3 linked regions of the Cricetulus griseus genome follow. The protein of the gene in region 2 purifies or fractionates together with the protein of the main gene of each other region. This does not show direct contact. Links are inferred from orthologs where the notes say so. Each region holds a gene or a part of one and is shown on either strand. Other genes may lie near its edges.

The links.
Region 1: the proteins of Maged2 (region 2) and guanine nucleotide-binding protein G(s) subunit alpha isoforms XLas-like purify together in Homo sapiens (affinity purification with mass spectrometry; 3 studies listed by BioGRID, counting the BioPlex papers as one, with this or other methods). This does not show direct contact. The link is inferred for Cricetulus griseus from reciprocal best matches to the Homo sapiens genes MAGED2 and GNAS.
Region 3: the proteins of Maged2 (region 2) and C1qbp purify together in Homo sapiens (affinity purification with mass spectrometry; 3 studies listed by BioGRID and IntAct, counting the BioPlex papers as one, with this or other methods). This does not show direct contact. The link is inferred for Cricetulus griseus from reciprocal best matches to the Homo sapiens genes MAGED2 and C1QBP.

The regions. Positions count from the first base shown.
Region 1 is NC_048599.1:4,772,147-4,775,896, forward strand, and holds the start of guanine nucleotide-binding protein G(s) subunit alpha isoforms XLas-like, read right to left. Parts: upstream 2,260-3,750; coding exon 1-2,259. UniProt on the Homo sapiens protein: Guanine nucleotide-binding proteins (G proteins) function as transducers in numerous signaling pathways controlled by G protein-coupled receptors (GPCRs).
Region 2 is NC_048604.1:108,707,871-108,710,259, forward strand, and holds part of Maged2 (melanoma-associated antigen D2), read left to right. Parts: intron 1-254; coding exon 255-349; intron 350-1,004; coding exon 1,005-1,084; intron 1,085-1,178; coding exon 1,179-1,221; intron 1,222-1,549; coding exon 1,550-1,612; intron 1,613-2,389. UniProt on the Homo sapiens protein: Regulates the expression, localization to the plasma membrane and function of the sodium chloride cotransporters SLC12A1 and SLC12A3, two key components of salt reabsorption in the distal renal tubule.
Region 3 is NC_048600.1:84,787,648-84,791,397, forward strand, and holds the start of C1qbp (complement component 1 Q subcomponent-binding protein, mitochondrial), read right to left. Parts: upstream 2,336-3,750; 5' UTR 2,271-2,335; coding exon 2,045-2,270; intron 1,638-2,044; coding exon 1,487-1,637; intron 1-1,486.

The sequences.
Region 1 (3,750 bases), on a different chromosome or scaffold from region 2:
CTGCTCTCGCATCTCAATGGCCTCTTTGCGCATCTGTTTGCGCCTCTCTTCAAAAGGATCCTTGGCCTTCCCGGGGCTGAGGGAACGGGCTCTCTCGGGGGCTCCGAAGCAGCTTCCAAAGGTTCTGGTGAAGAAGTTGCGGATTGGGTTGCATCCGACCGTGTGGCTCCGGGTCTGGCCGGGGCGGCGGTTTCGTCGCAGAAGGTACTGGAAGCAGCCGTTGGCCCCTTCTTCCGACTCATCGCTGGAGGAGTCAATCTCGCAGATGACGGATGATACCTCCTCGTACCTGCAGCAGCTTCGGCCACGTTCATACTTGTCTGGCCAGGCGCTCGGCCTCGGAGCAGGCCGCGGAGTAGGCGGGTCAGCAACCTGGATCTCGGGGCTGGGGGGTCTAAGATGGGCCCTGCTCGGGGCGGGAGGGTATGCCCGGGAGGCAGACATTGACCGGGCGACAGAGATTGGGTGGCCCGCAGCGACTGCCCGGGCAGCAGAGGCTGCCCGGGCGGCGGCAGCTGCACGGGCCGGGAGGCATGCCCGGGCGGCAGGAGTAGCCGAGAGTGACCTGGCTCCCCAGACCAGAGGACCTGCATAGGCTGCCCTAGCGGCAGTTGCCCGAGCGGAGGCTGGCATCGCTGGGGCGCCAGGGACTGCCCCGGCAGCCGGATGGGCTCTGGCAGTGGGGATTGGCCGGGGAGCGGGCTCCGGAGGGGTGACAGGGGCTGCCCGGGCGGCAGGCTCTGCCTTAGCAGAGACTTCCGCCGCTGCGGGCTCCACCTGGGTGACGGGGGCTGCCCCGGAGGCAGGCTCGGCCTTGGCGGCAGGGACTGCCTCGGAGGCTGGCTCCTCCGCGGCGGCTGGATCTCCTCCACCTTCAGACTCGGCAGGGGTGGCTGCTGCTGCGATGACCGGGGCTGCTCCTCCGTCAGGCTCCGCGCGGACAGCTGGGGTGGCTCCGACTTCTTCGGGATCGGTTTGGAGATCCGCGGGTGTTGCTGGGGCTGGAGGAGAGCCGCCGCTGGCAGCCGCGGAGGCGGCATCTTGTTCGGTAGCGACGGTCTGGGCAGCTGAGGCTGGCTTGTCATCCATGGCTTCTGGCTGGGTGAAGGATCCGTCTCTTCTCTCCGGAGAAGGGACTTTTCCTTCCACCGCAGCAGCGGTGGTTGGGCTTCCTTCCATGTCGGCTGCTTCTCGCTCAACTGGGGGTCTCTCTGCGCCGCGCTCGCTCTTATCTTGTGCTCCGGAGACTTCGATGGGCGGGCCAACACTTGCGATTGGGGGGCCGTCCATATTGACAGTTGTGTCGTCGCCGACCCTAGAGGAGGCTCTGCCAATCTCCAGCGGGGGTCTGGAGATCTCCATTGGGGGACTGTCGCAGGCGAAGTTAGCGGGAGCTCTGATAGCCTCGCTGAACGGTCTGTCAATGGCGCTGTGGACCCAGAGGGGAGGCGCGTTCTCGGCGGGAGCGAGACTGAGCGCACTCGGGACCGCGGCTGTCGGGAACTCGCCGCCAAAGCCGACTTGTCGGGTGACTCGGGGGAGGCCCGGGGGTGGGCTATCGCCCCCAAATTCTTCTCCATCGGGCCCAAACGGCACAGACTCTTCAGGTGGAGGGCTGTAGTCATCTCGCAAGCTAGCGATTGCAAATCTGATGTTCCCGGGCTCCGCGGGAAGTGCTCTGAGGACCTCTGCCTCCGGACCTCCTGGCGCAAGGTCTGGGACTGGCAAGGGCGACTGGCTATGGGCTTCCTGGGCAGGCTCGTTGAACTCAAATGGCATAGCTTCTTCTGGTGGGGGGCTGTAGGTTCCCTGGGCGGGGCTCGCACCACTGGGGGTCCCGGGCTCCAAAAGCGCTGGATTGAAGGTTTTGAGACCTGCTTGGGCCCCAGATCTTCCAGGCTGCTCCAGGGTGGGCCAGAAACCTCCGGGGCTGGGCTGTTTCGTCTCAAATGGCATGGATTCCTCTGGTGGGGGGCTATAGTCTCCACCCACTCCGACTTCCTCGACCGCCTGGTGGACGCCCTGAAAGTCGGTTCCGGAGACCCCCTGGGGTCCATAGCCCTCAGCGCCGTTCTCGGCGGGGATGGGCTCATTGGCAGACGGTTCGGCCTCCATTTCTTCGGCTGGGCCAAGCCCAGCACCGGGGGCAACTGCCCCTGGGGCCTCCAAAGGTTCTTGCTCGGGCTGCTCCCCGACTTCACCGGGGATATCGTGTTGTCCTGGCATATTGTTGCCGTGGACGCGGCTGCGCATGCCCATAACACGGTTGCGGTTTTTTAAAATAAATTTGGGGCCCCGTAAGACGGAGCACCCAGCCAAACTAGGGTCAAAAAATTTTTTCTTTTAAAATATTCGAGTATTGGCTGGAAAGTTCTCCAGCCTCAGTTTCCAATCTTTGTAAGGATAGATTCTGAGAGGCTAAAACTCAAGATCGTGGCTGAAGTACCTCATTTCTTGCTGGGAAGACCCGGAGCCTCCGGAGCCACACTTCTGCCTTCAAGTTGCGGTCGGCCAGCCACTCCCACGACTTTTCTGGACTCTCTTCTTACTTTGCTAACTTTGGCCCCGCCTTCTTGGCATCTAAGAGCGTGCCGATTCGTCTCGAAAATCGTTAGTAAAACTCTTTCTCTGCCGCCAGAGGACGCCGGTCTCAGTGCTAAGCCGGCTCCGGGAGCTGGCTCCCGGTGCCGGCAGTTCCCGACTTTGGGTATGGGGGCTGATGAGCGCAGGCCTCGCAGGGAGGTTCGCCTCCTTCCTCTCCTCTCCCAGACTGCTTCTGAGTCTGAGCTCCTCGCTTTTCCCCTGGCCAGAGAGAGAGAGCGCGCTCTCCTGCGTTGCTGGGCCACGTGACGTAAGACGTGGGCATTGGTCTGACAGAGTACAGGCGCTGAAACCCTCCCGCCCCATCAGATTCTTCCCGAGGGGAGGAGGGACTGCAGGAGGACTTTGTCACCCCAGATTACCCCAGTCTGCGGCAAACACCTTATCCGAGGACCCCAGCCTCGGGCAATTACCCGTTCTCAGCTCTGAGTTGGGGAAATGAGCCTTTAGGATGCCCGGGAAGGGGTAGAGGAGCGATCATAAAAATGCGACAGGTGGTCGTGAGCCCACCGGAAAGGCGGAGAGGGGATGAAGGGCGATGAGTTGTCAAATATGAACACGCAGTTTGTTTTTTAAATGCTCCGGGGTAATTTTATTATTTTTTTTTAAATGTTTTTGTTTGCTGTTTGTCAAGGATAGCTTCGGTAAATCCCCCTTCAATATGCCCCTTCCCCATTACACTTCCGGTGGGGGGGCTCTCAGCAATAGCCTAGCGTGACGCATCAGGCTTCGGCTTGTTTATGTGGATGGTGACGCAGTAGAAATAAGGGTCTCGGCGGTACACTGCGGCAAAATCGAGCAAAGACCCCTACGCGGTTACCGCTGCGGCGCCGGCGGCGCAGATAGGGGAGGGGGCGCGGGGCTTACCGGAAGACCCCCACCTAGCACGGGCTTCTGCCTTCTCAGGAAGGGGGAATGGAGACTGGGTGGGATACGTGGGATCGTGACCCATTTAGAGTGGTCTTAAAAACTAGAGGACCCGATAAGCACTAACCCACCGACCCACCGTGCCGCGGCAGTAACGGCGACCGAGACTCGCGGCTTCCGGCTCCGGGAGCCTGCCGACGATTCGCGTTCAGTTCGTCTAACCCCTCGCTAATCCCTTAGCAGACCCCTGCCAGTCCCCCTCCTCATGCTGTGAGCACCAGA
Region 2 (2,389 bases):
TGCTGGCTACACTGTCTTATGTATTGCAGATGCTCACCTCGCCATCTACCTAAATTCCCACTGATCACAAAGATGCTATGGATGACCACCCTGTTTGTTACATGTATAATGCGCACTTAGCTATGTGCTTTATATACAATATTCCATCAATTTCTCTCTCACATACACAAAAAACCTTTGGCTATTATGAGGAGCCACAGGATGCCTGGGAAGCTGGATTTTATGAATTTATAAGCTATTCTCCTCATCCACAGGTATTTGGAATTCAGCTGAAAGAAATCGACAAGAGTGACCACTTATATATTCTTCTCAGTACCTTAGAGCCCACTGATGCAGGCATACTGGGAACGTAAGCTGGGGAAGTGCTAGGGTGTGAAGGGGCTTCTTGCTTCCTCTTAGAAGCTCAGGAGAGAGGGTCTAAACACCTGTGTCCCAGCTCCCACACATGGCTGGATCCCTATGAGCAATAGGGTGCCAGATTATAACTGACAGAAGGGTTTCAGAGCCTGGACTGGGGCATTCCTGCTGTCAGGTTTGCTTGTTCTAACAAGCTCCCAGGAAATTGGATTGCTGTCACTTGTCTCTTCTACTGAGTGCCTGGCCTGGCTGTGGAAGGGTGGCTTTTAAAAGAGGGAGGGATTTCTGTTGTGCACCATGATGCTTGAGAGCAGGAGTGTCACTAGTGTTCCATCTAGTACTTCTCAGTGCCAGGGGACTTCGGGAGATAAAGAAAAGCCTCCCAATGACTGAGTGTCCATGTGGTGGACAGGGATTCCTCCATGTCCCGCTAACCCTGGGTAGAGATAGTATGTGGTTTCCCATTTTACTGGAGACCTTGGCTCAAGAGTGAAAGCAGCTTGCCTTAGGTCATGGATAGCTGGGACCATAGAGTAGGCCAAATTTTCTGTATCTGAGGAATCTAGGTGAGGCTGGTCTATTGAGCTGTGCTGTATAGATGGTGGCTCATGAACATAAATTTTCTCTCTGTCCTGTTATTCTCTTAGGACCAAGGACTCACCTAAGCTGGGTCTCCTCATGGTGCTTCTTAGCATCATCTTCATGAATGGAAATCGATCCAGTGAGGGTGAGTGGCTGGACATGCAGTTGAATAGGTGGCTGTTGTCTGAATTCCAGGCGCTCATTTTCTGTCTTTGTCTCCTTCTTGCCTCCTCTTGCAGCTGTCATCTGGGAGGTGCTGCGCAAGTTGGGGCTGCGCCCTGGGTATGATTGGGCTCTCTCAGCGCTTGCTGTCCATGTTGTCTTTTGGCAAGAGAGGATGGTCCCAGGATTGCATCAGCCTGGTGGTCTGATGGAGCATGTGTGGGGTGGGGGTGGGGAAAACTGGGCTGGGTAGTGGGCCCAGGGTTCTGACCTACTGGATGGGGAAATGCCTCCCATCTCTGCTCACCTTCTCACCATCTCTTCAACTTCCATGGAGCTTTCTCTATACTGTAAATCTGTTTTGTCATGGAAATGCCTCTGCCAGCACTTGGGAAGTGTAACAGATCTGATTATATTTATTTGCTTATTCAGCTTTCTGTGTTCTCAGGATACATCACTCACTCTTTGGGGATGTGAAGAAGCTCATTACTGATGAGTTTGTGAAGCAGAAGTAAGTGCCTATGTCTCATGTGCGTGTGTTTGTGGTCTAAGGTGTGCATGTGTGTATGCTGTTGGCAGGTTATTTCTGGGAGCAGTCACAGCTTCAGAACAACTCTGTGAGGGAGTTGAAGACAGTCTTAAGGAATTTAAGTCATTTGCTCAGGGTTACACAGATAGCAAATAAAAATTGTGTTTAGAACATGGCTCTTTTTACTTGGCTAAGTAGCACTTTAAAAAACTTAATTTCCATTAAGATGGCCTCAAGTGGTACCCTTAGGCAACCCAGGATAGTGCTGCTGGGTACTGACTTGTGGATTTAGTATCATTTATATAACTGTGTACCATTCATTTAGGTAAATGATATGATATGATATGATCCCTAAGAGGGGATGTTTGAGCATGGCCCACAGGTAATTTTAAAAAAGGCTCAGTTGGGTCTGGAATCCTAACCTGTTGACTTTGTAACTAGGAGTCTACCTTGTATTATTGGGTGTCAGAGAAGAATATGCATGCACTCACATAGAGAAACAGTTGTGTTTAGGAATATGATCTCTCTCTCTCTCTCTCTCTCTCTCTCTCTCTCTCTCTCTCTCTCTCTCTCCTCTTCCTCTCTTCCTCTGTCTCCCCTGCCACGTACTCCATTCTGGCCTCAAACTTATATGGTTAGGGATGACGGTTAATTCCTGATCATCCTGCTTCAGCCTCCCGAGAGCTGGAATTTAAGGCATGTGCTACCATGCCTGGCCAGTCTTTTTTTTTAATAGTGTATCTTTCCAGGTCTTGGTCA
Region 3 (3,750 bases), on a different chromosome or scaffold from region 2:
GTAGGGAGGGTGGTTAGGAGAGGAGCTCACTCTGTAGTCCAGGCTGCCTCCCAAATGCTGGGATTAAAGGTGTGCACCACCACTGCCCTGCAAATTTTGAGAGAACTTTTCCACCCTGTTAGAAGACAATCACCAAATGTGGCCACACCCCAGAGTCAATGACCCTTTTCTTCTGGCTTTGAACTTTTCTAAGGTTTTTCAAGCCTTGGCTGTCCTGGAACTTGCTCTATAGAGCAGGTTGAGCTTGAACTCAAGAGATGTGCCTCCCTGGGATTTAAGGTGTGTACCACCACAGCCCAGCCTAGCTTTGAACTAGGGTTACAGGCCCCCACTGGATAAAGCTGCTTTCTTACACATGTGTGTTTAAGGGGCACTCACTGGGGGCTGACCCTGGGCCTCACACATGCTAGAGAAGCCCTTAGAGGCAGGACTCTAAGACTGGTGAAAGAGTAACAAATCAGCATAACAAAGTTAAAGGTTTTAGGGGCAGCAGGTGTAGTAGCATAGGCCTGAAACTTTAGCACATAGGATCTGAAGCAGAAGGATGAAGAACCAGTCTGTGCTACAAAGTACCATAGAGACCCGTTTAGGGGAGGGGTAAGCTAAGCTTGACAAAGAACTCTACCTCTGATGGCCTTTCTACACTGTAATTTCATCCTGTTACTTTTTTTTGGGGGGGGGTTCTGAGGCGGGGTTTCTCTGTGGCTTTGAAGGCTGTTCAGGAACTAGTTTTTTTGTGTTTTCGAGACAGAGTTTCTCTGTGTAGCTTTGGAGCCTATCCTGGCACTTGTTCTGGAGACCAGGCTGGCCTCGAACTCATAGAGATCCTCCTGCCTCTGCCTCCCGAGTGCTGGGATTAAAGGCATGCCCCACCAACGCCTGGCCAGGAACTAGCTCTTGTAGACCAGGCTGACCTCAAATTCAGAGAAAGGTGGGCTGGGACTAAAGGCATGGGCGTGCCGGGGTGGGTGGTGGCGCACGCCTTTAATCCTAGCATTTGGGAGGCAGAGGCAGGCGGATCTCTGTGAGTAAGAGGCCAGCCTGGTCTACAACAGCTAGCTCCAGGACAGCTTCCAAAAGAAGCCACAGAGAAACCCTGTCTCGAAAAACAAAAGTTACATATCTTGCATTTTCAACTGTTATAAACACAAGCCAGAGGAGATAATTTTATGTGAATTCTAAACAAATCAGCACTTTAAACATTCCTAAAATCTAGTGCCTAAATCCAGGCAGGGCACAGCACTGTCACCAATAACCCAATGCTTGCCTGTGTCTGCCATCCCAACAGCCTTCCCTTTACACATTAATTACCAGGCCACAGCAAATCTGTCAGTGAATGTCCTCCCTGGAACCTAAGAAAATTTCCAATTGCATGCTTTCTCAAAAGCCATTTTACCAAAGCATGGGGCCTAAGCTCAGGCCTAATGGGGATGGCCAAGACAGAGTAAGTGATAAAGTCTCCTAGAACTCCAGGGCCAGTACTTACTTTTCTCCAGCAACTTTGCGCGATAATTTAGCCTCTGTCCCGTTCACTTCCAGCTCCCAATTCCCAGACATCTTGGGAAGGGATTTATGCTTCTGGATTTTCTTCTCTTCCTTAATTTCATCCGTTAAGAATTCAACAAAGGCTTTGTCTCCTAAAAGACAACCCAACATGGTCAAAAAAGAGAAAGCCAACTGCCTTACCCTATAGACCTGGACTGTGCCTAATCTGTTTCTATGGCTGCTCTATGACTCTAGCCCAATTCACTCCGGAAAACGTCCGTTTCCCACTCTGTAAAACCAGGATGTCTCTTCTAGCAGTTATTTCTCCTTAGTGTACTTAGTATTATTGCTCTCCGTATAAAACAAGAATTCCCAACTACCCGCTTTCACTTGCCAAAAGCCATGTCCAGCAACCACATTGTCAAACCACGACCCCTCCGGGCTTTTGCCAAGTCATATTTCCAAGATACGAGGAGTGGGGCCTGCGATCGCGAGGGTCCAGCTCGGGATCCGTTCCAAGCTGGGTCCCCACATCCCGGCCTGGATGCGTGAATCTTACCCTCGGTGTGCAGAGCTCCACAGCCGCAGGAGCAGGGCGCCGGGGGCTTCAAGAGGTCGGAACGCCGTGCGGAGCCGGCCCGCACGCTGAGCAGCCCGAAGGGCCGGAGGCACGGTCGAAGCGCGGGCTGCAGCAGCTGCGGGAGAGGCGAGGCCGGGGCAGCGGCGCGGAAGCCCGTGGCAGCGGCGCCCAGGGCGCGGGGCACGCAGCGCAGCAGAGAAAGCATGGTGAGGAAGACACGTGCGGAGTGAGTGACGACCCTGTCGAGCAAGACAGTATATATGACCTCGAACACCGCCGGAAGCCACGCCCCCGCCCGGGAAGGTCTCTTACGTCACCGGGCGACAGGAACCGAGCCAGACTGCGCCCTCTGCTGAGGGCCTCCAGTGCAACGGGGATGTCCTGAATCCCTTAGCTCTGTTCTCCCTGGGCTGATGGGCTGTCTCTCCTTTACTGCCCACTCTTCTCAATCCACATACTCTGAGATCACCTCACTTAAAAGTCTTCTGGATGTGGGGGACCCCCTGGGAGTCTGCTTTTCTTCTCTGATCCACAGGACCCTTGGGGAGCTACTGGCTGCCTTATGGCTAGGTGCTATTCATTTTCCCTCCTGCAGACACGGCCTGTTTACAAATATGCAAATTATCTGCATATTGTCAGGGCCTTAAGAGCATGGACTTTGATCTGAGTTACTTCCTAGGGTGCTGCTGATGGTATATAAATCAACTCCCCTCTAAATAAAATTGGCATTCTTCTTTCAAGAGTGACCCGCTGTTTTATTTAATCCGCAGATCCCTTCTTTCAAACCCTTAATAAGCTGTAGCCTTGGACAATGCATCTGGAATTTTTGCTGGGCGGTGGTGGTGGTGCACGCCTTTAATCCCAGCACTTGGGAAGCAGAGGCAGGCGGATCTGGATCTTTGAGTTCAAGGCCAGCATGATCTACAAGAGCTAGTTCCAGGACGGCCTCCAAAAGAAGCCACAGAGAAAACCTGTCTCGAAAAACAAAACAAAAAACCACTTCTGGAACCTTCTAAACATCGGGAATGCTCAAGTTGACCTGCACCCAGCTGCTATGCAGTGGCATCTATTTTGGAAACCTCTGCACCCCCTAATAGTTCATCCAGCTTTTAATGGACTATCATTTTCCTGGAAGCAGGAATTCATGGCTTACATCATCACATTATGTTAAGAATTGAAGATACCAGAGGCTGGACGTAAGGCTCCGTGGTTAGGATCATTTGTTACTCTTGCAGAGGACTAGAGTTCTAGTCCCAGATCTATCTGGAGTTTCTAGGGCATCAGACTCTGATTTCCATGAACACCAGGCGTGAGTGTGGTGCAGACATGTAGGTTAAACAGGCAAACACATAAACAACAAACACTCATGTCTTATACTCCCGGCACCTGGAAGGAGACAGCTCTGAGTTTAAGGAGACAGCCTGCCCTGTCTACACAGTGGGTTTCAGAACAGCCAGGGTTACATAGATCTTGTCTGGCAGCTGGGCGGTGATGGCAGGCACTGTTAATCCCAGCACTTGGGAAGCAGAGGCAGGCAGATCTCTGTGATTTCGAGACTAGCCTGGTCTACAAGAGCTAGCTCCAGGACAGCCTCCAAAGCCACGGAGTTAAAAAAAAACAAACAAAAAAACAAAAAAAACAAAACCTGTCTGGAAAAAAACCCCAAAATATAGATACCAAGTCTT